Sus scrofa: one gene and its partners. The main gene of each other region encodes a partner of the protein of the gene in region 3 in a complex. Links are inferred from orthologs where the notes say so. Each region holds a gene or a part of one and is shown on either strand. Other genes may lie near its edges. The genes, in order: EXOSC4, EXOSC3, EXOSC9, EXOSC5, EXOSC6 and EXOSC2.

What was found.
Region 1: EXOSC9 (region 3) and EXOSC4 share a complex: the UniProt entries of both Homo sapiens proteins name them as parts of the RNA exosome core complex. The link is inferred for Sus scrofa from reciprocal best matches to the Homo sapiens genes EXOSC9 and EXOSC4.
Region 2: EXOSC9 (region 3) and EXOSC3 share a complex: the UniProt entries of both Homo sapiens proteins name them as parts of the RNA exosome core complex. The link is inferred for Sus scrofa from reciprocal best matches to the Homo sapiens genes EXOSC9 and EXOSC3.
Region 4: EXOSC9 (region 3) and EXOSC5 share a complex: the UniProt entries of both Homo sapiens proteins name them as parts of the RNA exosome core complex. The link is inferred for Sus scrofa from reciprocal best matches to the Homo sapiens genes EXOSC9 and EXOSC5.
Region 5: EXOSC9 (region 3) and EXOSC6 share a complex: the UniProt entries of both Homo sapiens proteins name them as parts of the RNA exosome core complex. The link is inferred for Sus scrofa from reciprocal best matches to the Homo sapiens genes EXOSC9 and EXOSC6.
Region 6: EXOSC9 (region 3) and EXOSC2 share a complex: the UniProt entries of both Homo sapiens proteins name them as parts of the RNA exosome core complex. The link is inferred for Sus scrofa from reciprocal best matches to the Homo sapiens genes EXOSC9 and EXOSC2.

Annotation. Positions count from the first base shown.
Region 1 is NC_010446.5:618,103-623,549, reverse strand, and holds EXOSC4 (exosome complex component RRP41), read left to right. Parts: upstream 1-2,213; 5' UTR 2,214-2,249; coding exon 2,250-2,420; exon of another isoform or gene 2,421-3,153; intron 3,154-3,380; coding exon 3,381-3,587; intron 3,588-3,696; coding exon 3,697-4,056; 3' UTR 4,057-4,557; downstream 4,558-5,447. Other genes in the region: GPAA1 (glycosylphosphatidylinositol anchor attachment 1 protein), read left to right, coding at 5,407-5,447. UniProt on the Homo sapiens protein: Non-catalytic component of the RNA exosome complex which has 3'->5' exoribonuclease activity and participates in a multitude of cellular RNA processing and degradation events.
Region 2 is NC_010443.5:238,538,157-238,543,783, forward strand, and holds the start of EXOSC3 (exosome complex component RRP40), read right to left. Parts: upstream 3,601-5,627; 5' UTR 2,957-3,600; coding exon 2,633-2,956; intron 1,951-2,632; coding exon 1,801-1,950; intron 1-1,800. UniProt on the Homo sapiens protein: Non-catalytic component of the RNA exosome complex which has 3'->5' exoribonuclease activity and participates in a multitude of cellular RNA processing and degradation events.
Region 3 is NC_010450.4:102,264,722-102,269,136, reverse strand, and holds the end of EXOSC9 (exosome complex component RRP45), read left to right. Parts: intron 1-248; coding exon 249-433; intron 434-1,619; coding exon 1,620-1,698; intron 1,699-2,302; coding exon 2,303-2,387; 3' UTR 2,388-2,430; exon of another isoform or gene 2,431-2,451; intron 2,452-2,862; exon of another isoform or gene 2,863-3,117; coding exon of another isoform or gene 3,118-3,166; intron 3,167-3,351; 3' UTR 3,352-3,481; downstream 3,482-4,415. Other genes in the region: CCNA2 (cyclin-A2), read right to left, coding at 3,118-3,166, 3,530-3,663, 4,056-4,169. UniProt on the Homo sapiens protein: Non-catalytic component of the RNA exosome complex which has 3'->5' exoribonuclease activity and participates in a multitude of cellular RNA processing and degradation events.
Region 4 is NC_010448.4:49,378,102-49,383,600, forward strand, and holds the start of EXOSC5 (exosome complex component RRP46), read right to left. Parts: upstream 3,647-5,499; 5' UTR 3,603-3,646; coding exon 3,455-3,602; intron 289-3,454; coding exon of another isoform or gene 267-288; coding exon 153-266; intron 1-152. Other genes in the region: BCKDHA (2-oxoisovalerate dehydrogenase subunit alpha, mitochondrial), read left to right, coding at 4,100-4,216. UniProt on the Homo sapiens protein: Non-catalytic component of the RNA exosome complex which has 3'->5' exoribonuclease activity and participates in a multitude of cellular RNA processing and degradation events.
Region 5 is NC_010448.4:13,294,297-13,298,955, reverse strand, and holds EXOSC6 (exosome complex component MTR3), read left to right. Parts: upstream 1-2,013; 5' UTR 2,014-2,082; coding exon 2,083-2,901; 3' UTR 2,902-3,365; downstream 3,366-4,659. Other genes in the region: RNA-binding Raly-like protein, read right to left, coding at 4,304-4,342. UniProt on the Homo sapiens protein: Non-catalytic component of the RNA exosome complex which has 3'->5' exoribonuclease activity and participates in a multitude of cellular RNA processing and degradation events.
Region 6 is NC_010443.5:270,750,541-270,755,273, forward strand, and holds part of EXOSC2 (exosome complex component RRP4), read left to right. Parts: intron 1-1,846; coding exon 1,847-1,892; intron 1,893-2,106; coding exon 2,107-2,196; intron 2,197-3,202; coding exon 3,203-3,268; intron 3,269-3,731; coding exon 3,732-3,800; intron 3,801-4,733. UniProt on the Homo sapiens protein: Non-catalytic component of the RNA exosome complex which has 3'->5' exoribonuclease activity and participates in a multitude of cellular RNA processing and degradation events.

The DNA of each region.
Region 1 (5,447 bases), on a different chromosome or scaffold from region 3:
ATGCTGCCAGGTTGGAGATGTGAGTTCTCAGGGGTGGGGGGACCCCTCCACCAGGGGACACATAGGGCTCCAGTGCTCTGGAAGGAACGGCCACCACTCAGTCCCTTTGGGCTCCTTAGGCCCGGAGCCAATGTTAGCCTGCTTATCCTGAGCTGCGAGGGCCAACTGCATACCTGTGGCCTTCGTCCTGCGCTGATGGACTACAGCGACCTTGACCTAGTCCGAACAGGACAGTAAACCTCAACCCGCCGAGGGAAGAGGTTCCACCGGTAGCCTGCTCAGTCCAGCCGAAGGGCCGAGGGTGAGGGGTTGAGGGCGGCAAGTGGCAGAGGATGATGGTCATCGTGGCCTTGGACCAGGTGTGCCAGCAGGGCCACAGCTGGCTGACCAGCCCACAGGCCCTGGTATTCTAGAAGACCACCGCGTTGGAAGGATGCTGTGCCTGGGCCAATGAGGCCCTGGACCAACACAGCATGTCCGTTCTACTTGCGCTTCTCATAGCCTGAGGCTGAACCACTCCTGCTGAGAGGCAGGGTCCATACCCTCCCCTGGAGCCTGCCAGACCTTTATGACTGTCCTGACCCACAGAGTCTTGCAAGAGGGACACTACACAACTTCTGAGGCAGGGTGTCAAAATACCATGTGTGGCCACCTTGTCTCAGGGGGTCACCTTGGTGTCACGCTCAGAAGACGCCCCCGCTGAGGCTGAGGCCAGGGGTAGGTGTGCCATCTCATAGCCCCAGTGAAGTCCCGCTCAACAGCCAGCATCTACCACCAAAACGTGCAGGAGGAAGCCTTCAAGACAATGCTCGTCGCCATCTGCAGTGACCGCAGGCAGGCTGCCCAGCTGAGCCCAGGCAAGCCCCAGAACTGTAAGACATAGGGACATATTTAATTTTTGTTACTTGAAGGCACTAAGGCTCTGCAGCAAAGGATAAACAGACACACAGGTCCATGCAATCCCTTTCTGGAAAGGATGAGGGTATCTGCATTCACAAATGGAAAAAGGAGGCCCACTTCATTGCCTATGGGAGCTGGCCGTGATGGGAGAGAGCACAAGACAAGTGTGGACCTTGCTGGGATGGGGCCTGTGCCCCTGCCTAGGCCCTGTGAATGTCGCTTCCTGTTGGTGAGTGTTGCAACCCTGTCAGTTCATCCTTCCATGTTCAAACAGAAAGCATGGGACCTGGCTTCCTGGGTACTGCAGAGGGGCTGAATAACGCAGCTGGAGAAAGGCGGGTGAACTCTGTTAGCGACCTTGCCCTCAGTGACACAGAGGTACCTGGAAACAGGAGGCACCTGGGGAGGAAAGCACCTCATTTCTCCCTCCTGTAGACCCGTCAGCAGTTCCAGTGGACTTAACTGACATGAGATGCTGGAATAGACCAGGTCAGGAAATGCAAGAGGAATTACACGATGTCAGTAACAGTCTGCAAGCTGGCAAGGATTAGATTAAAAAAAAAAAAAGTAACACTTTCTGGGTGGGAATTCACAGCCTTCACCCAGAAAGCCTTCCATTCCCCAAGCCCGTGGACACACACCCACTGCCCCCAACTCGGCAGTTACCCGTACATCCGCCCCGCAAGTATCAAGCAAAAAAATCAGAGCTCCGCAGGATTAACTGGACAGACTTTGTATTTCATATATATGACCATGTGTACGTACAACATAAATCATGTGCTTCCTTTTTAAGTGAACAAATGTAAAAACTGTACAAAAGAAGAGAACAGAGAGTCTCAGATTGGGAGAATAAATGCATTTAAGGTCGCAGAACTTCGAAGCCATGAGAGACAAAACGATGCTTCCATTCCAGCAGCCGCTGCTCTCACCCGCGAGCCTCGGAGAGACTCCAGGGGGTCCAAGAGAAGCCAAGGCGCGTCAACTGCGCTGGGGCTGGTGGCGCGCAGCGCAAAGCCCTGGCGCCCAGGACAGCGTGGGACGGGGGGGGCTCCCAGGGTCGTGGGGACCGCCTCGAGGATGCCAGCACAGCCGGTCTCCCCCGCGGGCGGCCGCGGAGAAGCAAGCCCAACACTTGGCAGATTTCCCTCCGCCGCCACCCCCAACGCCGAAACTCCCCGGGCGCCCAAAGTGGGGCCGCAGGGAACCCCGCGAGAACCGCAGTCCTCCGAGCCGGAAGTGGACGCCGGCGCCCCGGAAACCGTGGGCCCGGAAGGTCGGAGGTGGGGCCTCAGGGCCGCCGGGAACTGTAGTTCTCCGGAGAACGGAAGCGGGGCTGGCGGCCGGGCGGCATGGCGGGGCTGGAGCTGCTGTCGGACCAGGGCTACCGTGTGGACGGGCGGCGCGCCCGGGAGCTGCGCAAGATCCAGGCGCGGATGGGTGTGTTTGCGCAGGCCGACGGCTCGGCCTACATCGAGCAGGGCAACACCAAGGCGCTAGCGGTGGTCTACGGGCCTCACGAGGCGAGTGGGCGCGCGCGTTGGAATCCGGCGGCGGCGGCGGCGGCGGCGGGGTGGGCGGGGATGGGTCGAAAGGTGAGGCCTCCGTGTAGGGCCGCGGCCGAAGCCCTCATGGTGTGATGCGCGTGGTCCCTGCCTGTCTCGTCGGCCCCTGTTCCCTGCGCCCTCCACTCGTCTTTGCTCCTCCTCAAGGCGCCAGGCGTGCTCCCCCTCGCTTCGCTCCCTCACTTCTCAGCTCTGCTCCGACGTCACCCTCCGCGGGTCACCTCCCCAGACCACCTTACTCACCTGTCAGTTCCTCTCCCCTACAACCACACACTTCCCTGCCTTTCTGCATCCGCCAGCTCAGACGTCGGTTGAACTTATTTCTCACGTTTGTGTCCCCACTGGAACATAAACTCCGTGAAGACAGGGACTTTAAAGAAAACCGCCTGGGTGTATGGCCCCTCCAGCGCTGGAGGCATAAGGATGAAAATAAGCATGACATGCTTGCAGAGTAGAAAGGCTGATGGTGAGGAAGATGGGAAATAATTCCAAATGAGACTGAGGGAATTCTAGGGAGGCAAGAACTCAGAGCTTTGTAGACAGGGACAACATTTAGGATTTTTTTAATCTCACCCGTGGTGGGAAGCCTTTAGAAGATACGTGACATATGTGGCGTGCAGAAGAGACAGATCAGACCTGACGTTTGGAGAATGGCTTGGAAGACATGAGTCAAGGATGGAAACAAGGAGGCCTGTTAAGAGAGATGAGATCCAGAGTGATGATGGCTTAGATGCTGGCCCAGCAGCCCTCCCTTAGGTCGTGTTTTGGAGGTGAAGTAGTTGCTTGTTGAGATGCTGGAGGTAGAGGGAAGGACGGAAGGAGGCAGGGAGGCCAAGGCTCAGGACATGCAGCAGAGGAAGGGGTAGCATGAGCTGGGAGGAGTGGGCCTGGCTCACGTGTCCTTCCCCCCCACCCTAGATCCGGGGCTCGCGATCACGAGCCCTGCCGGACAGGGCCTTGGTGAACTGTCAGTACAGTTCTGCGACCTTCAGCACAGGTGAGCGCAAGCGGCGGCCACATGGGGACCGAAAGTCCTGCGAGATGGGCCTGCAGCTGCGTCAAGCCTTTGAGGCAGCCATCCTTACACAGCTGCATCCTCGCTCCCAGATTGATATCTACGTGCAGGTGAGCAGGCAGCAGCCGTCAGCTGCGGAGGGGAGAGAGAAGGAGGGGGTGGGGGTCGGGCATCAGCAGCCTAATGGACTGACACCACTGGGGGGGGGTGTCACTGCAGGTGCTGCAGGCAGATGGTGGGATCTATGCGGCTTGTGTGAACGTGGCCACACTGGCAGTGCTGGACGCCGGGATACCCATGCGGGACTTTGTATGTGCCTGCTCAGCTGGCTTTGTGGATGGGACAGCCCTGGCAGACCTCAGCCATGTGGAGGAAGCAGCTGGTGGCCCCCAGCTGGCCCTGGCCCTGCTGCCAGCCTCAGGCCAGATCGCACTGCTGGAGATGGATGCAAGGCTTCATGAGGACCACCTGGAGCAGGTGCTAGAGGCCGCTGCCCAGGCCGCCCGAGATGTGCACACCGTACTGGACCGTGTGGTCCGGCAACACGTACAAGAGGCCTCGATCTTGCTGGGGGACTGAGTACACGGCCGCCCAGGCCCAGAATAAAACTCACACGCGCTCAGTCCACTGTACTTTGATCTCCCCAAAGCACCTCCGTGCCCTCAGAGCCCGGCCCGGAGCTGGCTCCAGGGGCGACAAAGGGTGCTCCCTACGCGTGAACTGCGTAACCCTTGCAGCCTCAGGATTCCAACCCTGAGGAAGGGGGCGGTGGGTGTCCCTGGGTGAAGAGAGGCGCTTGTGTCATGAAGGGTTCAAGACAGCTGAGCAATGTGGCAAGGCCTGGTGTAATGAGCCAAGCCCTCATACTGTGGAGTCTGATTCTCACTGCAGCACATCCAGGGCCTTGAGCACAAGTGCTGAGGGAGAACTCCTTTGGCTATGGGTGCCACCAAGGTGATGGGGGGGCACCTCCCACATCCTCTGGATTATGTCTTGGACTGAATGGTCCCTTTCCCCCCAGAATCCCTTGAGCTTGTCCTGTGGCTTATCTTGAGCTCTGAAAGTACAACAGCGACATGATCTTGGCTCTGGCCCTTTCTCAGTCTGACCCAGACACTCCCCAACCCATGGTTGCACCTTCCTTCCAAATCTCTTTCTGCCTCCTGCTGTCAGACCTGCCTGAGCCCTGACCACCAGCCCCTGCTGTCTGAACTCAGGGACTACTTTTCTAATATCCCAGATACCTGGCCTGGACAGGCGGGCTCCCCATTTTCTATTCCACACACCCAAGCTCCTTTGCAACCCCTTTTGGCCAGCAGTATTCATGCACCTTCCTTCCTGTGGTCATCTGGCCCCACTGACCTTGGTTCTGGGCACAATACGTGATTCCACTCGGGCCCCTACTGCTGTTTTTTGGTGACCGACATTCACAGGAATAGGTCCGCCATCGCCTTGGCCTCAGCTCACAGAAGCCCCTTCACTTCCCGCGAGGGCACTCAAGCCTGTCGTTGTCAGTGGCAGCAGCATCTTCAGACATCTTCCAGTGTCTACGCTCTGGTCGCTGCTTCCGGTTTTCCTCCCACCTGCCCCATTCATCATCCCGATTCTCCTTCGAGCCGAGCGTTCTCGACTAGTCAGTCTTCATTGCCCTCCGGCGCCACACGCCGCGGTCGGCCGGCCTGGAGGCTGCTCCCGTTCTGCGCCAGCGAGGAAACGCAGACGCGGGGGCAACTCCCTTCCCAGCAGCTCTGCTCGGGGCTTGCGGGGTGGGGGCGCGACGGGCGGCATCGCGCACGCGCAGCGGCGCGAGGCCCGCCGGGACCGGAAGTGCGGGTGGGCGCGGAGCCCCGCGGGGACCGGAGCGGCGCGCCGGGCCGGGTGCCGTAGCTGGCAGCGGGGAGCGCGGTCCCGGAGCCGCCCGGCCCTGCCATGGGCCTCCTGTCGGACCCGGTGCGCCGGCGCGCGCTCGC
Region 2 (5,627 bases), on a different chromosome or scaffold from region 3:
GCAAAATTAACCCATGTACCTTATCCTTCACCTACCAGAAAATCTCCAGACTGAGACATCACAAAGCCAGAGAGCACCCTCTAGGGTTACACAGTCCAATATGGTAGCCACTATCCATATGGGCGTTACTTAAACTTACATTTAAATAATTAAAATTATATATTTAAAATTTCAAGTTTCTTGGTTGCATTAGCCACACTACAAATGCTCAACAGCCACGTGTGGTTAGTGGCTACCATACTAATCAGTGCATATGTAAAACAGTAGCATCACCACAAAAAGTTCTATTGCATAGCACTGCTCTAAGGAATTATAGAAACTCCTGGCATGCAAATTATTCAGAGCAAAACACAACACTGGTAGTTCATTGACACTTTTCCATGCAAGACTTATTTTAAAAACCTCAAAGAGTTTAACTTCAAAATGATGAAACTAAGGAAATGGGGAGTCAACCTTTTTAAGTTAAATACTTACTATTTTTGGTGACTATAGGAACCAGAGAGGTCCCTCCTTGGTCTCAGAGGGTAGTGGGGATGTACAATATAAATAACAAATTTCATTCTAGTTGAATCCAGTAAGAAAAAAGTGACTGAAAATCAGGGGTGTTTTTACAGAGGCGGTGGTGTTCAGCCTAGGTCTTGAAAGACAAGCATGTGTTGGGAATAGAGCAACCCAGCAGAGGAAAGAGCATGGGCAAAGGTACAGGGCTGTTACATAGTTTGGTGGGATTCAGGCAGGGCCACATGGAGAATATCACTATGGATGAGAGGAGACCTCTGAGTATCAGCCAAGGAAATACGTAAGCTTTAAAGAACTTTTGGGGGTGGCGTGGGTAGGGGGAGAAAGAGTTGTGTCAGTTCTTAAAAGCCTGGATGGAGGGGCAAAAGTGTACAAAAAGGATGTTAATAAGGAGGTCACAGATTAAGTCAGTGAAGAGAGATAGCTAAGGCCTGAACTTGCAAAGTGGAGATAAAGGGGTGGACATGTGGAAGATCAGAGGTAAGACTCAAAAAGGATCAATAAGATTAAACAACTAAAGACACAAGAGAGGTGGAGTTCCGTCGTTGTGGTGCATGGGAAACAATCCAACTTGGAACCATGAGGTTGAGGGTTTGATCCCTGGCCTCGCTCAGTGGGTTAAGGATCCAGCGTTGCTGTGGCTGTGGTGTAGGCTGGCAGCTGTAGCTCCGATTGGACCCCTTGCCTGGGAATCTCCATGTGCCACAGGCATGGCCCTAAAAAGACACAAATAAATAAATAAATAAATAATAAAGACACAAGAGAGGTGAGTGAGAAGAGCAAAGAAGCCACCAAATTTCTGACTTAGATTGGCAGGAAGAGTGTGACCATGCTACCTGAAAAGCCCCAAATGAAAACATGACTGCACCTCTGTCAGCTACAAAAAAGGGATTGCTGGGAAAGTGATCTGACAAGCTGTGAGATGCTACTCCTGGGACTCACACTGGGATAGACAACTGACATGGCAATGTGCACCACTTTCCCCTCTTTCCTCCCTGAGCCTATTGCCTTGTCCAGGGCATATAGACATAATAACAATGGAGAAAACAGATATAATCTTTCAACTCAGTAGAGATGAAAACATCCCCTGATGGAGCAAATGAAAAATAAGTATGAGGTCTGGTCCCAGAGCGAGCATCTCAAAGGGCTCTTAAAGCCTGGAGTGATAAGTCATCCTATAGAAACTGGGAAAATAAGACACTTAAGATAGCCCTCTGGATATCTGAGTGTTTAGGGATTGGGTATTTTTCTTACTTTTGAAACCAAAGGTCCTGTCATTACCTGAACATTTGGTCTGTTTCTTTTAGTTGCACCTTCAAATGCCAAGTAAGATAAAGAAGCTGGCTCACTCCCTCCAACATCAACTTTGAATATATCTCCAGATTTAGCGGTAACTATGCCAATCACATGGTCTCCTTTGACTGGAACATACTACAAAAGAAAACACAACGAGAGAATGAATGACCATAAATGACAGTCATTTTGAAGACATCTTCAGCAAGTCCTTAGTGGTTACTTTATTATCATTAGAAATACTTAGAAAATATTTGGAAATCCAAGTTTACCAATCAATACAAATCTTAAAACAAACTTGATCACATGCCACCTTCAGTAGAAGAAAAGCAATCACATGATAAGCTCTAAAGATTGCAGCTTCTAAACAGTATAATGTGTTCACTTAAGTCAGTATTCCACAACTCTTCTGTATCCTTCTGTTCCTGTATCCTCAGGAACTCCCTAGTTTTTGTTTGCATGAGTTCAGTGGTTTGTTTGCATAAGTCCCTGTGACATCTACTCATTGAGCCTGGTTCTTTGGGACCCTCAAAGACAAGTCTGCGGCTCCTTGACTTTTGGAGTTTTGAAGATAATGACGTGTCTCACAGCCCTTATCCCCTTATGTGACAAGATCTCCAAAATCCTTTCCTGGTCGCCCATCTCGGGTCACTTTACAGTTGTTCACAGTCCCCCTAAAGGAGTTGCGGAGGGTAAGCACAAGACTACGGTAGCTGTAGGCTAGCCTTAAAAGAGGGCTCCAGGGTCCCTTCTGTATTTCTCTCGAGGAGTCTTCCCAGCCCTCTCCCGGCCGTCCCACCCCTTCGGAGACCCGGCTCACCCGCTTCTGCTGCGAGTCCACCCAATAGACGCCACTGCCGCCGCCGCCGCCGGCCTCCTTGTGACGGAGGCGGCCGCACTTGGTGACCAGCAGCCGGTCGCCACAACGCCGCAAGCCCGGGCCACACACCACGCGCACCCGCGGGCGCGCTCCGGCGTTCAGGCGCAGCGGTCGCTCCCCTGCACCTCCTGGGCCTTCTCCGTCCTCCTGCTCAGGCAGCAGCAGCTCCTCACCCGGGAGCACCACCTGATCCAGCACTGTACGGGCTGCCCGCGCCCTGCAACCAGCAAAGGACTCCGCAGCATGAGCGGCTGGCTCAGCCATAGCGAGTGTAACTAAACAGTTTCCGGCTTCCGGGTCCGCGTCCAATCGCCAGGCCACCCAAAGCTTTCCGTTTCCGGCAGCACAGGCCTGTGGGACTTGAAACTACTGCAGTGATGCCTGACAGTTCTGTGCTCTCAGAGGTTGCCCCAAGGTAGCTATGATTGTCTCTAGCCGGCCGCTAATCCTGCGGTGGTCAGCAGGAGAAACGCGCAGCTTGAGTCTGTCGCGGAGCCTCCACTTCCGGTGTCTCGGATCGGACGGTGCGATACGAGACGGCGCCACCTTTGGTTCCCGGGGAGCCTTAGGAACTGAGCAGAGGTCCTTCTTGAGTTGGCTCTCCTTTCTGACTCTGCCCTCAAAAGGACCTTTACGAGGAAAAGTGTTTTCTTTTTCAGTATGAAATCTTTTTGGGTTTTGCTTGAGAATATATCTATTCACATAATGGAAAACATAGAGAAGAATAAGAACATAAAACGTGTTAGTCTTGCCGCCCGTTTGTCTCCCTTGCTAGATTGTCAGCTAGTTCCCATTGTTTGTAGCGCAGGTCCTGGCACGAAGTAGGTAATACCCGGTGAATAAAAGGAAGAATGAATGTTAACATTTTGATGTGCATTTCTACCTAGGCTTTTTTCCTCCCTTCGAATAGATACATATTGCATGCATATTTCCACATAATTGCGCTACCCCTAGCTGGCTTAGAAAAATCGCTAATGGCAGTTAAATCCTTGCTACTGCTTTCCCTGGAGCTAGCTTTAGTTGCCTATGTGAAAAGCAGTTGAATTCCAAATCAATAGCACATCAGCTCTGTTCTTCTGATTTTCAGGACTCTCACTTGAAATCATTTTCCAGAGTTCTCACTCGGGGCCTTGCTGTGACACAGATTCCATCCCTGGTCCAGTAACTTGCACATGCCTCGAGTGCGGCCAAAAAAAGAAAAAAAATTTTAAATCACCGTTTCCTCTGTCAACTGGCACCTCCAATTAGCCTTAGCCAAATAATCGTAGGAGTCAGAGCTCCTGGGGATTTGGGAGGGTGTGGCTCTGATCATATTTAAAAGAGATTACCTCTAATATACTCTCCATACTCTGTAAGATACTGGTGAGACACCTAAATAAGATACCAGAGGTCAACTGAAATGTAATTTTTGTTGTTTGTTTTGTAGTCAGTTGCTGTAAAAACAATCTGGTTGGTTACCTTTGCAGAAAGGATGGTGTAGATTATTTTTCTCTCCTCCCTACTCCAACCCAGTTCCTGAAGACCTGAATCCAGTAGGTATTAGGTGACCAAGACTAACTCAATCACGACTGGGCCAAGACCATGCCTGAATTGTGCTCAGTGACATTGGGTTACAGCCTGAGAGGTCAGGAAACGATCCCTGGATGGCCTCTCAGGCATCAGTAGAGGAGTCTCTGTCAGGAACTCAGCCCAGATACGGCTGAGGAGTCCTAACAAGGGCACTTCTGTGGGGGTGGCACGTGGGCACGCACATCCCTAAGTCCACAGACCAGAGGCCTGGAAAAGAGTGGTTACCTGAGACAGGAAGCTGAGGCCGGGAGGGGCGGGTCGAAAGTACCTCGTGGGCGGTGCTCTGCGCGACCCTCCCAAAAGGGCGTGCCCAGAGGGTGGGACGCTGGAAGGCACCCGGGAGGCGGGAAGGCAGCCTGGCCTGGGCACTGCGTGTCACCACGTAGGTGCTTCGCCGCCGCGGAGCCGTGTGGCCACTGGTGAGTAAGCGCGAAATGGGAGCAGCGGGCAGGCCCTGCATGCGGTTGCGTGGGAAGCCGAGGCCATTAGCAAGTGTGCGGAGTCCGGCTAGGAGCCGCGAACCCTGACGGCGGCACTAAGTGAGGCGTTGGGCCGCGATTGCGAAGTTCTTGTTTCCGAAAGGCGTGCTCAATGTTTTCTGGCTGTGAAAGTGGCTTCAGTGACTGGGGAATGCATAGGAGACCAGGGCCCGTGCAATCGGCCACGGACCTTCTAGCTCCTAGGCCGTACCTTGTTTTTGGCCTCCTTCCTGAGCCTTTCTGGCAGATCCTACCGAGTGGATTAGGCCTGCTTCTTGCCTGGGGGCCTTGTTGACCTGGAGCCAGTGCAGTAGAGGTGGTGCTGCACTTGACTGCCTCTGTGATTTACCTCTGCATTTCTCAGTATTTCCCTTGGGAAAATTACCAAATCGCCCTTTGGAAAGGTTGAACCAAACCTTGGCCTTCTGGACTCTTACCCAAAACTTCCTCTTTAGAAATCTTTGCTATTTGAGAAGTTGTTAAAGTGGTATCTCATGGCTGCTTTGCTTTGTTGATTGGTAAAGTTGAGCCTTTTTGTAGCTTTCAGTCTACAAGACTAGTTGAGCATTTGCTCTGAACCAGGAAGTTGGCTGAATCATGGTCCTTGCCCTGGGGGAGTTCAGTGTGGCCACAGGAGAATACCAAGTGCTATGGTGTCTGTAACAATATGATTAGGGTAAAAGCCCAGAGAGTACAATGGGTGAAATGATTACCTCTATGTGGGAAGAAGATAAGAGTCAGGATAGGTGTCCCAAAAGAAGTAGTATTTGAATGAACCTTTAAAATTTTTTAGGGAGTTCCCGTCATGCTCAGTGGTTAACAAATCTGACTAGGAACCATGAGGTTGCGGGTTTGATCCCTGGCCTTGCTCAGTGGGTTAAGGATCT
Region 3 (4,415 bases):
AAATTAATTACAATGTTCACAGCCAGTGTCTCTTGCTATTTCTCACCCATTGTGTCCATAAAATTTTCACCTGATTTATACATTTTTCTTCATTATTCAGCAATCCATACTATAATAACTATTAGTAAATTTTTTTTCCCTAAGAATTTGAAGCACACTTCAATCTTAAAAAAGCTTTCATTCTCATCTTTTCTGACACTGCATCAAGTAGCCATATTTTTGTTATTCAGTTTTCTTAACTTGCTAAGTGTTTCTAAACCTGTGCTGTGGACTCCTGGAACTGCCCAGATTGGAGAGGGAATAGAAAACTCCTGGGGTGATCTTGAAGACTCTGAGAAGGAAGATGAGGATGAAGGTGGCAGTGATGAAGCTATCATTCTTGATAGTATAAAAACGGACACTGGAGTAGAAATCTCTAATATTGGAAGCCAAGGTATGTGAAACTGTATATCTCCTGATTATAGGGATCTTATTTGTATATTAGCAATTGCTTTTTTAGAGGGGCTAAATAACCTGTGATTTAAACAAAAAGGCAATATTGTAACATGTATTAGAGAAATACTGTCCAAACAGAACTCTTTGCTGCAGTGTAAGAAATGTTCTATATCTACACAGTAGTGTGTTAGCCACAAGGCACATGTGGCTATTGAGCAGTGAAATGTGGCTTGTATGGGGAACTCAATTTTAGTTGCTTTAAAGTCACATAGGGCCACATGTGGCTACCACATTAGAGCAGCATTAGAACATAGAAAATTCTAAAAGTACATGAATACTGGAGGGTCCTGATGTTCTTTGCATTCTTAAAAGTGTAGAATTAGTGAAATTGTTCTCACCTGTAGATATTTTAAAGGAAACCAAATTCTGACTTGGTTCATACTAGAAAATCATGAACTGTAAAAAGAGAAATCAAAGGTGCAGTTACTCAATCTGGCTGAGAAAATAGTGAAGGTGGCATTGTTTAGGTTATGTATTGCACATTTCTGCCTGCCTTCAAGGAAAGAGATTATTGCTTGTAAATATTATTGAGGACTTCCTGGAGGGTTTTGTAAGGGGAAAAAAACCCATTGATTGGGAATCTTATTTAGGTTTCCCAGTGGTTACATAGTATTATACATTACACTGACACCAGCTGCTTAAACACAGGGTCTGTGAGTGAATCTAAATCTGCTAATAAGGTTAATGGCTAGACATTTAGTTACTGGCTAGATGAAATAACGTTCAGTGGAGAATGCAAATTATTCTCAAATACAAGTATGTATTGGAAAATGGGTGGAGTGTAAATTGGGACATTTCTGAAGGGATTTGGCAAAAACATCTTTTGGAATGTATGTGCCTTTTTGTGGGGGCGGGCTGTGCCCATGAAATCAGCAGATTCTAAAAAGTAACTCAAGCAGTTCATTTGGCATACTGACTTCAGTTTCCAAATTGGTTCTATAGAAGAGATCTTTTTGATTGACATGTATCAAAATGTTTAGATAACCAGAATATTTTTTAGTAAATCAGTAAGCCTCCACACAGAATTGCTTGGGCTCTTTATCTTAATAGAGATAGTTGATATAAATGCATGTGGAAATTTTCCAAGGAATTATTTATATTCTTTTCTTAACATTTCTTTAAAGATGCCCCAATTGTACTCTCAGACAGTGAAGAAGAAGAAATGATCATCTTAGAACCAGATAAGAACCCAAAGAAAATAAGGTAATAAATTTCAAGTGTATACATATACTCGACTCTTTATTTATTTTTTGCTTTTTAGGGCCGCACCCACAGCATATGGAGCTTCTCAGGCTAGGGGTCAAATTGGAGCTACAGCTGCATGCCTACACCACAGCCACAGCCTGAGATCCGAGCCACGTCTGCCATCTACACCACAGCTCATGGCAACACCAGATCCTTAATCCCCTGAATGAGGCCAGGGATTGAACCTGCAACCTCATGGTTCCTGATCGGATTTTGTTCCCACTGTGCCATGACAGGAACTCCCTACGTACTCACGACCTGCTAAGAGGCTTGCCCTCTAGTTTTATTATCATCTTATCCTACTATAAACAGTAATCAGCAATCCAGATGTTTTTCCTGTGGTTTCTTTAGCCTGAGATTTATAGACATTAGGACTATATGTCTATAAATTCTATAGAACAGCTTGGATGCTTTTCAAGGTTACAGTATTCTGTCACAGATGGCAAATGTTATATCCTACTGGAAAAAGTAAAGTTTGAATCAGCACACTGATATAAGACTGGTAAATCATCTGTGGAGTCAGCTCCCAGTACTAACATTGTTAAATTTACTTTGTTCACAGAACACAGACCATCCATGCAACACAAGAAAAAGGACCAAGTAAAAAACCAGTGAAAAAGAGAAAAAAGAAGAGAACTGCTAATTAAAGTACACATAGTTGTATATTTTGTGTATATAACTATTAAAAAGGTATTTATTCAGTGTTAACAACCTTGGGTGTTATTCACAAATCCATTATAAAATCTAGCTACTTCTTTATACAGTTTTTTCTTTCTTCCCCCTCCCCCCCCCCCCACATTATGCTTTAAAATATACCTCTGGAGAACTTTTAAAACAGGTTTTAAATAGCTATCACTCTGTTAGGTCAAGTGTATAAATTGTTGAGTGAAAAAGCATTTCATAGCATGTGTACAAAGGCTTGGAAGAGTCAGCCAGTTGGCCCAGTTCCTTAGGGGAGTGAATGTCAGCACCTGTCTGTCAGAGAGAAGGCTCCCCAGCCCCTCCCATGGTTTAGTAAACCATGGTTTTCCTGAGTGAAATCTTAAAGTCAAATTTTACTTCAGATTAAATTTGACTTACAAACCAAGTTTTCCAAATCAATTTATTAATTCTTAATATCCTGGCAGCTGGCATCATTAATACTTTAACAAAAGCCACTTAAAATTAGCCAAATATCTAAGATAGTTACATGTACAAAAGATATACAAATTAAAACCATTTAAAAAGTGATAGATACCATAATTTGTACTTGACCATAACTTGACCATACTTGACCATATTCAGAAATGATTGTAAAATTAAAACCTAAAAAAAAAATCTGTACACCATATACTTAGAGTGATTTACATCTTAGAAAACAAAGGCAGTCTTTCACTGTTAAATATTTAGTGTCTCTGGTGGGTTGAGGAGAGAAACACCATGATACCTGTAAGTAGGGAAAAAAATCCATTTTTAGTAAATATTCATTGCATGAAGCAGATCATGAAATGATACACACTAGGAACTCACAGATGCTAGTTCTGTCTACTTGAATTAATGGTTATAAAATCATTGTCTAGTACCCCAAATTTGCATGCATGCTCATTCCTCTCCCCTCTTCCTCAAATACAGGACAGAAACCTTTAACTACAACCTATTCAAAACACATGGCTTGCCAAGAGAAGAGCTGCCCGGGGAGGCTGTGCCTGATTTGTGAATCCCCTAATAAAGTTAAAATGTCAAGGGTTTCTGAACCATACAATAGCCTGGAAAGCAAGCTTTTTTAGTATCCATTGTTGTTCATTCTTACTTGGAATTTTTGTATTTCTCTCTTATTGACTGTTGTGCATGCTGTGGTGCTCTGAGGTAGGTCTGGTGAAGGTCCAGGAGACAAGGCTTAAGCGTTTCCAGCGTATATCCAGTCTTTTGTACTAATGATTCAGGCTATAGGAGGGAGAGAACCATTGAGTCTCATTTTTAGAAAGAGACACTAAACACAAATTAGTAGTTGGCATTAAGCTTGAGTTTTGTTAAACTTCATTACTAACACCCCCCAACTAACATCTTCCAGTTTTCTCAAGCTCTTTTTTTTGGACTTCAGTTTTTACTATTTTCCCTGCCAAATCCTTTAAGCACAAGCACATGTTTCTAGTCCAAGTAATAACTAAGCTTTCAACCTAACAAATAGATGCTTTTAAACAGGTACAAGACATTTTATGCTTTAAACAGTGTTGAACAACTCTCTCAGTTCAGTACATCTGGACAACCATCAGTTGTCTATGTGGCATAAACATTTAAGCCACAAGATAGATGTGTAAAGATGTTGTAATACATACCCAGCTTTGTCCCGTGACTGTGTAGAGTGCTAAATGAAAGGCTGCTGCAGCAGTAACTGATGGCAAATACTTTAGGTACGGGTCAGCATCTATCAAACTTAACTCTCCCAAAAACTGGAAGAAAAAAAAAAATACATTTTATGATCCTAAGAGCTCTGGAATTCAAACTTGAAATCCTTGCGTTCTGGTCTTACATTTTTTTTTTTCTGTCTTTTAAAACTGCTCTAAAGCAACCATAGGGGAAAAAAAATCCATAGCCACATCTTTAAATATATCCACTATCAGTGTTTTTGCTTCATTCCCATCATGTATAGTTCCTCTAATAGCTCTTAAATCAACTCTTTTGGCTATCATTTCCGG
Region 4 (5,499 bases), on a different chromosome or scaffold from region 3:
GGGAGGGGGGCGGAGAAGGGACAGAAACAGACTTGGAAGCATGTTGTTGGGGAAAAGAGACAGAAATAGCTGGAGACAGACAGAGGAGCAGGTGGGGGGAGGGGAGAGCGGGGAGCGCAGTGAGGGAGACCCCAGGCGAGAGGCCCAATTACCCGGCAGCCCGATCTTAGGCCTCAGGATCACCTCCAGTGTGGCCTTGTTGAAGATCTCTTTGCGGACCTTCACCTCGGCTGGGCCATACACGCCTGCCAGGACGGAGGTATCCCCTGGGGAGACAGCACAGGAGGCCTTGCCCACGTCTCCCCCGCCTCCGGGGCCCAACGCGCGGCACTTAACAGTGTGGGCACAGAGCCGGTGGCCGGGCTTCCCCACGTCACCCCGGCTCTGGCCCACCATTCCTTGACAGTGACTCTTGGGGCACTTGCTTCGTTTCTCTGCCTCCACTTCCCCATCCGTCAAACGATACCTCCTCCCTCACAGCTGTTGAGGGTTAAATGAGATGATCCACTTAAAGGAAAAAGGCTCAGGAGCTGCCTGGTACCCCTGCTGAGTGCTCAACAGACTTAAGCTGTTATTAACTTCACCGGGAAGTCCCTCCTGCACTAACCTCCCTCCCTCTTACTGCTGCTGGTCCCAACTTCTCTTCCCACAGCTTCCCCTAGCCCAGCTCTCAACTCTGCAGCAGTAAGGATACCTGAGAACCCAATAAATACCTGGGGGGTGGGGGTGGGTTCTAACTCCTGCTCATTTCCTCCTGGCTCTGTAACCTCAGCTGATTTTGCTCACTTCTCTGGGCCTCAGTTTTACCATCTGCAAAAATGAAGAGGCTGAACTAAAACAGTAGCTTCCAAATTTTTCTGACCATAACCCCCAATAAGAAATATATTTCAGGAGTTCCCGTCGTGGCGCAGTGGTTAACGAATCCGACTAGGAACCATGAGGTTGCGGGTTCGGTCCCTGCCTTTGCTCAGTGGGTTAACGATCCGGCGTTGCCGTGAGCTGTGGTGTAGGTTGCAGACGCGGCTTGGATCCCGCGTTGCTGTGGCTCTGGCGTAGGCTAGTGTCTACAGCTCCGATTCAACCCCTAGCCTGGGAACCTCCATATGTTGCAGGAGCGGCCCAAGAAATAGCAAAAAAGACAAAAAAAAAAAATTTTTTTTCAGGGAGTTCCCTCTGCAGCTCAGAGGTTAAAGAACTCAACTAATATTCATGAGGATGTGGGTTCGATCCCTAGCCTTGCTCAGTGGGTTAAGGATCCAATGTGGCTGTGGCTGTGGCGTAGGCCAACAGTTGTAGCTCCGATTCAGCCCCTAGCCTGGAACTTCCATATGCCGCAGGCCCAGCCACAAAAAGCAAAAAAAAAAGAATCACTAACGAATGCACATTGGACTCACTGCAGAGCTTTAAAAGACACTGATGCACAGGCCCCTCCCCTCAGAGAGCCTAATACCATTGCTGAGGGCTGGCGCTCAGGCACCGGCAGCCTGTGAGCTCCACAGGCCATTCTAATGTGCAGCGGGGATTGCAACCTGCAGTGGGAGGACACGGAGCTGGTGCACAGCTTCAAAACGCTGGCCTGCAATCAGAATTGCCGCTGTAGTGGATTAAAAAGTGTAGAGGGCCAGACTTAGCTGGTGTGGGTGGGTTCTGAGGCTTCAGCATTTTTTTTTTTTTGGCTGTGCCCACGGCACATGGAATTCCTGGGCCAGAGATCAAACCCTTGCCACAGCTTGGACCTGAGCCACAGCAGTAACAATGCTGGAACCTTAACCTGCTGAGTCACCAGGGAACTCCTGGGGCTCGGAATTCTTAACCTCAGTAGAGATTCTGAGGCCAGGAGCATGTGAGACACACTTCTGAGGGCCTTTGAGGGACTCTGCTCCAGGGTCCTGGGCTTTGGGGTTTTAGAACATGGAAGAGGCTCAGTATTTAAGTGCTAAGAAACTTGCATGAAGGGCAGTCCTCCGTACCTCTCTTTGACCTCCTGTCTCTGCTGCAGCCACTTTGCTCTCCTGACTGCTCCTCAAACACACCAGGCAAGTTTTTGTCTCAGGGCCTTTACCCTTGTCCCCAATGCTTTTCTCTTACTGTCTTGAGGGTTTGCTCCCTTACCTTTAGATCTTTATTCAAATGGTACCATCTTAGCGAAGCCTTCCCTGACCATCCCATTTGAGACTGCACCCCTCTCTGGCACGCCCTATTCTTCCTTCCTGCGGTAGTTTCCTCCATAGCCTTTTACTAAGTTTTACTTAGTTATCACTTGTTTCTCTGATGGAAATGGAAACTCTTCTAGGGCAGGAATTTAAAAACTTATATAAAACAGAAAAAAATATAAAAAAAGAAATTAAAAAAACACAAAAAACCTTTTTAGCTATGATTTCTCAGTGCTTAGAACAGTACTTAGCAAAAACACATGTGTTCAGGAATTCCCGCTGTGGCACAAAGGAATTGGCAGGAACCCTGGCCCAGCGTTGCCACTCTAAGGGCATAGGAAGGACACAGTTGGGGCTTGGATGTGATCCCCAGCCTGGCAACTCCGTATATATAAAACAACGAAATTCCCATTTTGGCTCAGCGGGTAAGAACCCAACTAGTATCCATGAGGCTATGGGTTCAATCCCTGGCCCCGCTCGGTGGGTTAAGGATCTGGGGTTGCCGTGAGCTGTGGTGTAGGCCGCAGATGCAGCTCAGATCTCGCATTGCTGTGGCTGCGATGTAGGCCAGCAGCTACAGCTTCATTTGAACCCCTAGCCTGGGAACCTCCATATGTTGCAAGTGCGGTCCTAAAAAGCAAAAAAAAGAAAAAAGAAAAACAAACAAAAAAAAATCAGTAGTGGTGATTTGCCAGTCTACGAGGTATTTACGCAAAAGAACAGGTTTGCCTCAACCAGGGATAGATGAATCCAGAGTGCATGTGTGGGAGGAACCTAGTCAAGGAGGACTTTTTTTACACGGTGAGATTTCCCCTATTCTGGAGTATTCGTTCTTTTTTTTTTTTTTTTTTTTTTTTGCTCTCTCAGGCCTCACATGGAAGTTCCCAGGCTAGGGATCTAATCAGAGCTACAACTGCCAGCCTACACCACAACCACAGAAACCCCAGATCCGAGCTGTGTCTGCGACCTACACCACAGCTCACAGCAACGCCGGATCCTTAACCCGCTAAGGGAGGCCAGGGATCGAACCCTCATCCTCATGGATCCTAGTCGGGTTCCTTAACTGCTGAGCCACGAAGGGAAGTCCCTGGAGTATTCGTTCTTAAGAGAAGGTCTGCCCCTCTCTCATCCTGAGGCATATTTACCAGAGTGGAGGTATCTTCACCCTTCTATTTGTCTACTGGCATATGCAGTACCATTCACTCCGGCAAGAACTGCATCAGTCCAAGAAGATATTTACCAGCTAACACAATACACTGTACCCGCCCACGAGAACAAATACGACGTGGGTAAATTCTTACCTTGCAGGAAAGAGGCAGAGCCATCGGGCCGGGACAACAAGTTTTGTTCGCAGGCAAAGTGCCGGAGAGTACAGCTGGGGCTCCGAGGGCCAGACTCTGCTCCAGACTCGGGGCGTACCTTGGTTTCAGTCTGCATCGACTCCTCCATCGCCGGGGAGCCCACGTGCAGCAGGGACTGTCGCTTCCGCCCAGAAGCGCGCGCTTGCGTACAGACTGCGTACCCAATGAGCAAGCGCCAACTTGGGTGCGGGGCCCTCCGGGATCCGCGCCCGCACGTGTCTCTGCGTTTACTAACAATCTGGTCCCTCCTACTCCCGCCTAGAGAGTCCAGGAAAGCCATTGGACAGAAGGGAAGAGAGGGCGGGCCTTGGCATGAGCTCGTCCTACCCGAGGCCCCGGGGCCCTGAAACCCTGAAGCCGAGCTCAGTTGCCCTCTGCTTTGCCTGTTAAGAGGAATAACTCCGGTGAAGCGATCGGAGTAATTTGGGGAAATCTGGATTATTTTACCCACCTATATATGTGTCCTAAAGACCGCAGGATTAGTAGCAGGTGGTTTCTTGGCAGAGCGATCCTGGTATTTGAGTCAGGCTCCTGAAGGGGCAGCCCCAGTCTCGCCAAGGAGGGGGACGCTACTCTGAGGTATTAATGGTCAAGATGGCGTTGGCGGTGGCTGTGGCGAGGGTTTGGGAGCGCAGTCAAGGCTTGGGCCAGGCTGGCCTCCTGCTTCTGCGGCGGCTTGGGGCTCGGGGTCTGGCTAGATCTGTGAGTACTGGGGAGGTACCCGAGAAGGTATAGAAATGTTAACTCCTTCTTCAGAGTGTGGCGTCCCTGTAGGGAGTACATGGAGGGCGGTTGAAGGGAGAAGGGCTGCAGAAACATCTTGTAGCGGACCCTCAAGGGAAGAAGTTTCACTTCCTTAGGAGAGGCAAAGCGGGACAGCTTCTTTGTGGACCCTCAGGGAGGAAGACAACGTGGAGAAAGTGAGGGAGGGCGTTTCTTATTAGTTGCCACCAATGCCCCGGGGAGGCCTCTTGGAGGACATGGGGGGAAAGTGTGACCTTTCTCCTCAGGGGTTGGAGAGTGAAATTGCGTTTACAAAGGAAAGATTTTCTTCTTGGGAAAGACTCCCCCTTCCAAGAAGAGAAGAGAGAGCAGATACCCCAGCACAGGCTTTTATAGTGCCTTTTTGCTTCAACTCTGGTTTTTTTTAGTTTGTTTTTTTACTTTTTATTGGGGCATCTGCAGCATATGGAAGTTCCCAGGCTAGGGGTGGAATGGGAACCGCAGCTGGGGGCCAACGCCAGATTCTTAACCCAGTGAGCGGGGCCAGGAGTGGAACCTGCATCCTCATGGACACTATGACCGGTTCCTAACCCACTGAACCACAACAGGAACTCCTGCTCTGATTTTAAAATGAATCGTGTAAAAAAGTCGTTTGATCCTGGGTCCCCTGATGCAGTACCTGGCTGTTGACCTTGTCTGTCTTGATCATTACAAAGGAGATGATTAGTAAGTATTTGTTCAGCTAATGAGGGTGGACGAGGAGGGAGAGAGGTCCAGACAGAGCACTTGTCCACATTGCTTAGGAACACGTAAGAAATGCCTCATTTCTTGTCGCAGGGTCAGCCTTCCTTTAGGTTGATGAGAGCTTTCACAGCAGAAATCTAATTGGGAGCCCCTCTTAAGGGGAAGAGAGGCAGTGGGCTGCAGAAGAGCTGTGGATTGTTTTCACATGTAAGTAGTTAAGAAGGTGTGCTCTGAAGCTAGACCATGTGGGACCAATATCCCTGATCTGCTGTTTTCTAGTTTTTTAGCTTTGGGCAAGGGACTGCTTCTCTCTGGACCTAATCCCCCCCACTCCCACCCCCGCCAGCCAGTAAAATGCTAACAACAGATTGTTGTGAAGAACACAGAAGAGTGCCAAGGACTGGATGTGCCCATGACGAGGGCAGAGTGGATTTTGGCTGCTGTTGAAAGGGGACAGAAACTGACTTTGGAGATGAGGGAAAAGGGCTGGGTTGGTGAGGAAATCTATCAGAACTTTG
Region 5 (4,659 bases), on a different chromosome or scaffold from region 3:
TCCTTCCCCACTCCTTGTCTCCTTCCATCCCAACCTCTGTCCTGACTCCCATTTCTCCTTCCTCTCTTCTAGAATATAGCCAACCGGGGCCTGAAAGCCAGCGAGTGGGTGCAACAGGTGTCAGGCCTGATGGATGGCAAAGGTGGTGGCAAAGATGTGTCCGCTCAGGCCACAGGCAAGAACGTGGGCTGCCTGCAGGAGGCGCTGCAGCTGGCCACTTCCTTTGCCCAGCTCCGCCTGGAAGATGTGAAGAACTGAGGGGGAAGGGTGGCTTCCACAGGGAGGTGTCTCCTCACTCAGATGCATCCGTCCAACCAGGAGCTCTCCGTCTGCCACAAGGGACATTTTAATCTTGGGACCTTTAAGCAGCCCCATCTGTCCTCCTAACCCAGCAGTAACTGTAACTTAACCTGGGAGCCAGCCTGTGACTCAATGCCCTTGTTACATTTCTGCCCTGAACACGTCAGCACCATCTGTTAGAACCACTACCCTAGGATTGCTGTTTATCGTTGTCAAGCTTGTGTCTATAGAAAGAGTTCTCTGTAGACCCAAGGTTCTGGGCCTGCAGGAAGGAATCATTTTTTGCTGCAGAGAATAAAAGGACCATGTGCAATACTTGATAATGCCACATGATCGCTTCTCTCCCTTCCCTCCCGCACATCCTACCCATAGGCACCCCTGGTGTGAGAGCCTGTGGCTCCCCGGGTGTCTGTAGAATAAGTGCTCCAACTGGCTTCTGGTTGCAGCCATTGCCAAGTCTAGCCCTAGACCCCTGAACTTTGGGAATAATGGCTCAGGACTTACATGTAGAGGTGGCCCACAGAATAGGGGGGTTAGATGAAGAGAGGCATTCATCATTCAATGGAAGGTGATTCAAGGGATTATTGGAGGCAGAGAGAATCTCCTTGGAGCCTCTTGTAGGAAAACCTTTCCATTTCTTAGGCCCATATCCCTCTTCCTCTTGGTGTGCAGGTTGGGTGTAGATCAGAAGCATTCTTTGGTATAGGAGGCATTTAGGGTAGATCACTTGCTTCCCTCCACTCCTTTGCCTGTCCCCTCATTCCTGGTTCCAGGACTTAAAAGTTGGACATTGAGGATGGAGACTCTGACCTGGTTTGCCCCTTCACCCAAGTCTGAAGACAGCTAGGTTTGGAAGCAGCAGTGTATAGTAGTTGGTTGTGCCCCCTCTGGCTGATTTCCAGTCCACTGGGTACAGCAGGCTGGCTCTGAGGCCGAGGGTCATTTCTCAGTCCTGCTGACTTTGGAGAGAGGAGGAAAAGCAGGTCTATGGCAGCTGAAGCAGCAGAGGCCAACAGTCACAAGGCCTGGGAATGAAAGGCTGTTCTCACACGGAGTTATGAGAGCTAGGTAGAAGGAAGGTGCTGAGGCCCTGACTGCAGCAGCTGCATGCCTGGTATGGAGTGTCAGGGATACAAAGAACTCACAATCCAGTGCAGGAGACAGTTCCATTTATTCATTAGCAAGCGTTTATGCCAGCCAGGGCACTGACAGTACAGCAGTGACCAAGACAAAAGGTCACTGCACTCTTAGGCAAGGCAGTAGGAAACAGAAAATTGTCACACGGGAGTTCCAGTTGTGCAGTGGGATCATTGGTGTCTTGGGAGCGCTGGGACCCTTCGATCCTCAGCCCAGCACAGTGGGTGAAGGATGTGGTGTTGCCACAGCTGTGGCTTTCGTTGTGACTGGCTGATCCCTAGCCCAGGAACTCCACATGCTGTGGGATGGCAAAAAAAGAAAACAAAAAACAAAAAAATAATCATACAAATAAATGCAAAATTAAAATGACTACAATTTCACATCGGCTAAAGGTCGGCCAAGCAGGTCTAGGTCCCACTTCTGCAGGCCTGCCTCACAGCCACCCAACCACGAAGCACCTGGTGTCCTCGCTGCTGCCTGGGGCTCTACAGCGCTCGCCGTTCTCCCTCCGGGGCGGCAGGGGTCAGTGCAGCGCCGCCCGCTGCTATCCCGACAGCCCTCGCGCGGGCGCGCGACTTTAAGCGAGCGGAAGAGCAGGCGCGCGAGGCAGGACGGGCGGAAGTGGCTTGTACTCTAGGTGCTGCCATGCCCGGGGACCACCGCCGCATCCGCGGGCCTGAGGAGTCGCAGCCGCCGCAGCTGTACGCGGTCGGCGAGGACGAGGAGCCAGCCGCCCGTGACCCGACGCGGCTGCGGCCCGTGTACGCGCGCGCCGGGCTACTGAGTCAAGCCAAGGGCTCGGCCTACCTGGAGGCTGGAGGCACCAAGGTGCTGTGCGCCGTGTCCGGCCCACGCCAGGCCGAGGGCGGCGAGCGCGGCGGCGGCCCGGCCGGAACGGGCGGCGAGGCCCCGGCCGCGTTGCGGGGCCGCTTGCTCTGCGACTTCCGCCGCGCGCCCTTCTCGGGCCGACGGCGCCGCGCTCCCCCAGGCGGCGGCGAGGAGCGTGAGCTGGCGCTGGCGCTGCAGGAGGCGCTCGAGCCGGCCGTGCGCTTGGGTCGCTACCCGCGCGCGCAGCTTGAAGTGTCGGCGCTGCTGCTCGAGGACGGCGGCTCGGCGTTGGCCGCCGCTCTCACGGCCGCCGCGCTCGCCCTGGCCGACGCGGGCATAGAGATGTACGACCTGGTGGTGGGCTGCGGCTTAAGCCACACTCCTGGGCCCGCACCCACCTGGCTGCTGGACCCCACGCTGCTCGAGGAGGAACGCGCCGCCGCCAGCCTCACCGTGGCGCTCATGCCGGTGCTTAACCAGGTGGCCGGGCTGCTGGGCAGCGGGGAGGGTGGCCCGACAGAGAGTTGGGCAGAAGCCGTGCGCCTGGGTCTCGAGGGCTGCCAGCGCCTCTACCCAGTTCTGCAGCAGTGCTTGGTACGGGCCGCCCGCCGGAGGGGCGCCTCCGCGCCGCCTTGAACCATAAGTGTGAGCAACGACGCCGAGGAGCAGGCTACCGCTGTCGCCGAAAGAACCCGAGCCGTCGGCTTGCAGACGGCGCTGAGCCAAGAACTAGAGCCCGGGAGAGGATCTGGGAAAGTGCGCTCAGAACTGATGTGCCGGACAGCTGTGTTTTTTTTTTTGTTGTTTGTTTTATAAACTATCGTTTAAGAAACTTTTCTAATTGGGTTGGCGCTCAGCTACGACCCAGTTGAAGAAACCTGCTACTGCAGTCTGATTTCCAAGGTGGAAAGGACTTTAGGTGGACTTGCCTGAAAAACGGGAACCTGCAGCTAGTGCCTTGTGAGGGATGGACCCTGTGCGGGCCACTTAGTGACTGTCTCCTATCTAATGGGCCTGCTTTTGAGATAATAGACAAGGGGGTTGTGTCTTCCCACTTCTATCTGAACTAAAACAGAAATTCTTTTATAGCTGAAAAGTTCTTCTGTTGTTCTTCTTGGTACAGGATAGAGCAAGGCTCTCCTGAGCTGTGTAGTGTGTTCTTGGACTCAAGGCTTGGGACAGTATTATTTTAAATGTGTCCTGGTGTCCCTGGTCCAGTCTTGGTTCCTGGAAGAGGACATTTGACTGCCAAGAGTGAGAGTTTCTGAATGTTGGGAAACTAGATGCAGCCTGTTCCATTAGGGCAGAGCTGGCCTGTCTGACCACAAGGGTGGACTCGTCCCTGTGTGGCTCCGGAGCGCTGTGGGTTTGTGCTCAGGTCTGGATTGGAGAAAGGCCTGGCAGCCTGTTCTCCTCTGCCCTGACTTGGTGTGAGCTTCTGAGCTTGTGTGTCTCCGAGGCCTGCTCAGCTTCTCTAGAAAGGGGCAGTTGAGAGACTGTAGTGAGGCTTTGAGACTACACTAAGGACCCCTGACCAGGGAAAAGAAAATTTTATTTCTCCTCAGTGACATATTTTTCCAAAGCAGATCTGAAATATGTAAGATCACACCAGCAAGAGACAAGGTAGAAACAACATAAAAGTGATACTCCTGCTGAGACCCAGAGAGGACAGGTAAGGCTTTGGCGAGGGGCGGGGAGAAGCAGCTAGGGAGGTACCTGTAGTCAGAGGGCTGGTGGTGCTCCCAGGGGGGCCCTTTCCAGCTGCCTCTTAACAGGAGTGGCCTCAACTTTATGAGAATGGTGAGCTGGTGCTGGGCACTTGGAGGGCTCCTTCCTTCCCCGCTAGCCCCCAGATGGTCATCTGGAAACATGATCCTCAAGCTAAAGTCAGCACTGGGGGGAGGCTTCCCAGCTGGACTGGCTGAGCCATGCCTCCACTTCTTTGCGCTTGCTCCAGCGTGGGTGCTACTCAAGGCAGGGGATAGGAACCGCCGAAGAAAGTGCCTGGAGCTGATGAGACTGGGGGAGTTCCAGCCTTCTACTGGCTGCCCTCCTGGTCTGATGCGTGATTCTTTACCTGTAGAAGAAGCAGAAGCAGGACTTTAGCCCAGAGGGCTGAGAGGCAGGGTATGACTAGGAAAAGGAGGTTCAAATGCTAACACCTTCTAGTCTCCCATCCCCACCTCCCTTTCTTGGCAGCTTTGGCCTCAGTGCTACTGTAGACCTGGAAACCCAGAACCATCAGACAGAAGAAGGCATTTTTCTCCACCTAGCTCAGTCTTGCCTAGATGTGACTCAGTCTTGGGCGGCAATAAGGGTTACCGTGGAGCCCAGCAGGCCAAGGGGCAGCCAGAGCTGGCAAGTGGAGGAAAGGTAGCTCCTCACTGCGAATCC
Region 6 (4,733 bases), on a different chromosome or scaffold from region 3:
CAGCCAGGTCCTTTCTGCCACAGCATACCCCCTCCGTCCCCCATCCCTGCCTGCCCCATCATTCTGTAGGTCTGTGATTTGGAGCACGTGACTGAAGGAGGGGGATGGGTGACCACAGGTAGGTTTGGGCTTCAGAGGTTTCCCTACGTTACCTGACCTCCCCAAGCTTTGGTTTCCTCCTCTGCAAAATGAGACGTAGCATGACCTACCTTGTAGGATTTGCCCTGGAATGCACTGGAACAGTGCATGCAAAGTACTCACACAGAGCCTCCTACTCACACAGAGCCTCCTAGAAGGGCTCAGTTAAGGTAGCCCAGGAATATAAGCTAGTGGGGCTGGAACAGAGGGAGCAGGCGGGGTGGGGGATGGCAGGAGTGGTAGGAGCCTGCGGCCTGTGAAAATTCCCCAGGGCTGGGATTGAACCTGCACCACAGCGGCGACCTGAGCTGCTGCAGTGACAATGCCAGATCCTTAACCTACTGCGCCACCAGGGAACTCAACACGGTAAGCATTTTTGACTTGTACTTTGTGAAATCTAGGAAGCCACTGGAGGAGGTAGGGCAGAGGAGGGATCTGGTCTGACTTCTGTTTAGATGAAATCACTCTGGCTGCTGTGGGAGGACGGGGCAGGGGTAGGGCACTGCTGACCTAGACTAAGGTGATGGCAGTAGGAGTGGGCAGAAGTGGCCACGGTGGCATGTATTTTGTGCTCTGAGTGTTTTCATCATGAGAAAGTGTTGGATTTTGTATTCTTGGGATTTTCTGTACTAGAAGACCATGTCTGTGAGAAAAGAAAAGATAGTTTTATTTCTTCCTTTCCAATTTGGCTGCCTTTTATTTTCTGCCTGTATTTTAAAGGTAGAGGCGGTAGGCTCCATTGCTGGACTTGTTCTGCAACATGAGAGAAAGAGAGATTGAGACTGAGAAATATGAAGGGTTCCTTCAGGGATTCTGGCTTGAGCAGGTGGAGTTGCTATTTCCTGAGATGGTGACAACCAGGAGCGGATCCGTTTGCTGTGGGGGAGGGAGGGGGGCTGCTGGAAAGCTTTGTCTTAGGCGTGTTTTGCAAATTCACACCAGTGGAGGTGCTGGGTAGCCAGCAGTCGACTAGAGTCTGGAATTGAGGGGAGGGGTACGCTCCTCGGGAGTATGTAAAGCCGCCTGGCTGGATGAGCTCAGCACGTGAGTGTGGGCTGAAATGGGCGGAGGCCCAAGGACTGAGCCTTCAGTCTGGAACACTACATCAGTAGAAGCGGGACGAGGGACTGGCAGCCAGTGGGTGAGTGAGACAGCGAGTAGACTGGTTTGGGTGATGTCCTGTCCCCTCTGGGTTCCAGAGCCCAGCAGAAAAGAGTCCATGCTTACCATGTTCATGCAGTTAACAAAGAAAGGGTTTCAGGCTTAGGGAACTACTTGCGATAAATGGTTTAAGACTAGTTAACAGAAGGAGTTCCCATTATGGCACCACGGGTTAAGGATCTAACTGCAGCAGCTCAGGTCGCTGCTGAGGTGCAGGTTTGATCACCGGCTGGGCATAGTGGGTTAAGGATCCAGCATTGCCGCAGCAGTGGCTTGGATTCGATCCTTGGCCTGGGAACTCCCATATGCCTGCCGCAGGTGTGGTCAAAAAAAAAGAATGGTTAACAGAGGCTGTATGTATAGGAATGTTTTGAAGCTATCAGTTCCTAAAAATGAGTCTAGAGTGTAGTTAGATAAATTAAATAAATGTGGTGCCTAACCAAGGCCCCCCCGCCCCCCCAGTCTGGTTTAACTGACCTTCCCAGTGGGATTTGGTCTCATGTTAAAGTCTTTTCACTACTGGGTGACCTTTTGTTTCATCTTTCAGATATAATGGTGAAGTGGGGGACATTGTAGTGGGGAGAATCACGGAGGTAAGTCAAGTCTGCCAGGTTGGTTTTCCCAAAGTAGAAGCAAGCTGGTGACCTAGTGAATGGGATCTTCGTTCTAGATGCGGTTACCTGGCCGAGGCATGTGCCGTGTTTTGGTGTAAATGGTTGGTTGGTTACGTTTAGGGTTATCAGTTGTTTACAGTGTGCGCTCTGGCCCCCGGGTATGTGTCCAGGTTCGGGGTTTCTTTGTCTGTAGGTCCAACAGAAGAGGTGGAAAGTGGAGACCAACTCCAGGCTGGACTCGGTCCTGCTTCTGTCATCCATGAACCTTCCCGGAGGAGAGCTGGTGAGGGTCTCCGGTGGGACTGGACGGTTGGTTGGCGAGGGCTCTGGGGTCCTTTGCTTCACCCACGTACTTGCTTTCCACTGAAGTTGCCACTTTGACCACTTTTGTGCTGCCCGGATGTACACGGAGGCTTTTCACTTGGCCCAGGCTCCCAGCTTAGGCAGCAAATGGTGTACGCTAAGATCTGGAAGGTCCCCGGGGGACCGATCCTGAAAGAGGGCTGATCTCTTTCCTTTTCTGGGTATACCAGCTTCGCTCCCAGAAGGTGTGACTTGAAAAGTCATGTTTAGATTATCTTTTCAGGCACTCAGTGGCTTTTGGTCGTTTCAGACGACCACAGTCCCTAAGCTGCATCCTTTTGTAAAAGGCCACAGTTCAGCTTTATCTTCAGTCCCACATCTTCTCTAGAGAGGCTCGCTGTGCCAGGCTTTCTGGAGAAGGGCATGATCAAGAGGCAGGACCGAGTGTCTGGGAGAGCTTACAGACTAGAGGGGGTCTGGGAGACGGTTCCTGGCAGCCCCAGGATGAACCACGTACAAAAGGAGTGAATAATTTCACTGAGAAGAGCTCGAAGGAAAGAGGGGTGCTGGAGTTGATCCTCGAAGGCTGGATAGGATTTCAGCAGTGAGTTCAGGGAGTCTGAAATTGGAACGCGTGAGCAGAGATCGAGTGAAGCCGGAGGTGGTGGGTCCGCTGGAGCGGGGCGGGCAGCCACAGGAGGAAGGCACTGCAGGGCGGGCCGCGCTAGATTGGGCGGGTCTGGAATATCATGGAAGGAGCTGGAGTTTTATCCAGAGGAAGGAGAAGAGGAGCTGTGGGAAGCCTATAAGATGGAAAGCAGTGGCCGTCGCTTCATCTTCCTTGAGTGGCACAGGTTACCCACTCGGCCTGTGAACGCAGTGGCTGGCTTCAGAGACCTCAGAGGAAGTGAGAGAGAAGGGAGGGTGGCGAGAGCTCCCTCCTGGACCTGCCTTCAGTAACGCGGCCCTGTCTCTGTGCATTCCAGAGGAGAAGATCAGCAGAGGACGAGCTGGCGATGAGGGGCTTCTTGCAGGAAGGGGACCTTATCAGTGTATCCTGCCTGCTGCGTTCCGCGTCTTCCTGTCTGCTAGGGAGCTGGGGCGCGGGGCTCCCCTTGTAGGCCTCCCACAGGGGAAGCATCATCCCGGCAGGGACCTGAGTCCTTGACCGAGTGTGAAGGGCTCTGCAGCAGCCTTTCCTCACTTCCTTCACCCTGGCCGACCCTCCAGCTCTTGTTCGGACCTGCTGCCACTCCGTCCTGTCCTTGGGTCTTGTAACTTACGGTGGCCCAGGCTCTAAGCTAGCTCGCATTTTCCTAACGATGGGAGCATTTCTCCCAGGAAGGAGAAAAGGTGGTGTCAGGTTGTCCATGACCTCCATGGTCACAGCAGTGTGACCTCTGGGTCTGTCTACAGCCTCGGGCAGGAGGTTGGACCTGAGAGGAAAGGCTGGAGGGGGGGGCCAGGGAGGCAGGTGACGTGAGAATGTTTGTTCCTTCATCCGGAACCGGCCAGGCTGAGGTCCAGGCAGTGTTCTCTGACGGAGCCGTCTCTCTGCACACGAGGAGTCTCAAATACGGAAAAGTAAGTTGGGCTCCGGCCATTCCCATGTGCCAACTGACTTCACATCCATTTCCAATTCCCCTGCGCTCTCGGGAATGCCCACTAAAGAAGCCGAGCAGCTAGGCGTTAGTGCACTGCTGTCCCCGACGCTGAGTGACACCGTTGGCAGCATTGCAAAGGACGACAGCACTTGACCTTTTCTACTGAGGAGATGTTCTGGCAGAAGAGCCCCTATGCCCTGTGGCCCTGTGCCCCTGCCATCTGTTGAGGGCACGGCAGCCTTGCATTGCATTTGCACTGAGACATAGTCCTGGGAACAATGGGAGGTGGAGGGCTGCTGAAACAGGATGGCCCTGAGACAGACAGCCAGTCAGTAAGATGGAGATTGTTAGGAAAGATGGGTTTGCTGCTTGAGCCTCTAAATGGGAAATTTCACTGCATTTCTATTTTAAAGGGATGTTATTGAGGCTACTTTTTTTTTTTTTTTTTTTTTTTTTTGTCTTTTTAGGGCTGCTCCCATGGCATATGGATGTTCCCAGGCTAGAGGTGGAATTGGAGCTGTAACCACCAGCCTACGCCATAGCCACAGCAATGCCAGATCTGAACTGTGTCTGCAACCTACACCACAGCTCACGGCAACGCTGGATCCTTAACCCACTGAGCGAGGCCGGGGATCAAACCCACAACCTCATGGTTCCTAGTCAGACTGGTTTCTGCTGAGCCACAGTGGGAACTCCCAGGCTGCTTTTTAAATGACCTCATACTTTGCAAAACAGACTGTGATTATTCATCCCTTGGCTTTAACTGGGTGAGCGTTCGTTTTCTGAGCGGAACAAAATCCTCTGTCCTTAGTAGAAGGGCTGCAGCCAGTCACGTTCACGTCCTCGAAGCAGGCAAGGGGACGCTGCCCTGCACGTGCTGCCCGTCACGGGCCGGGGTCGGAAGTAGACGGCC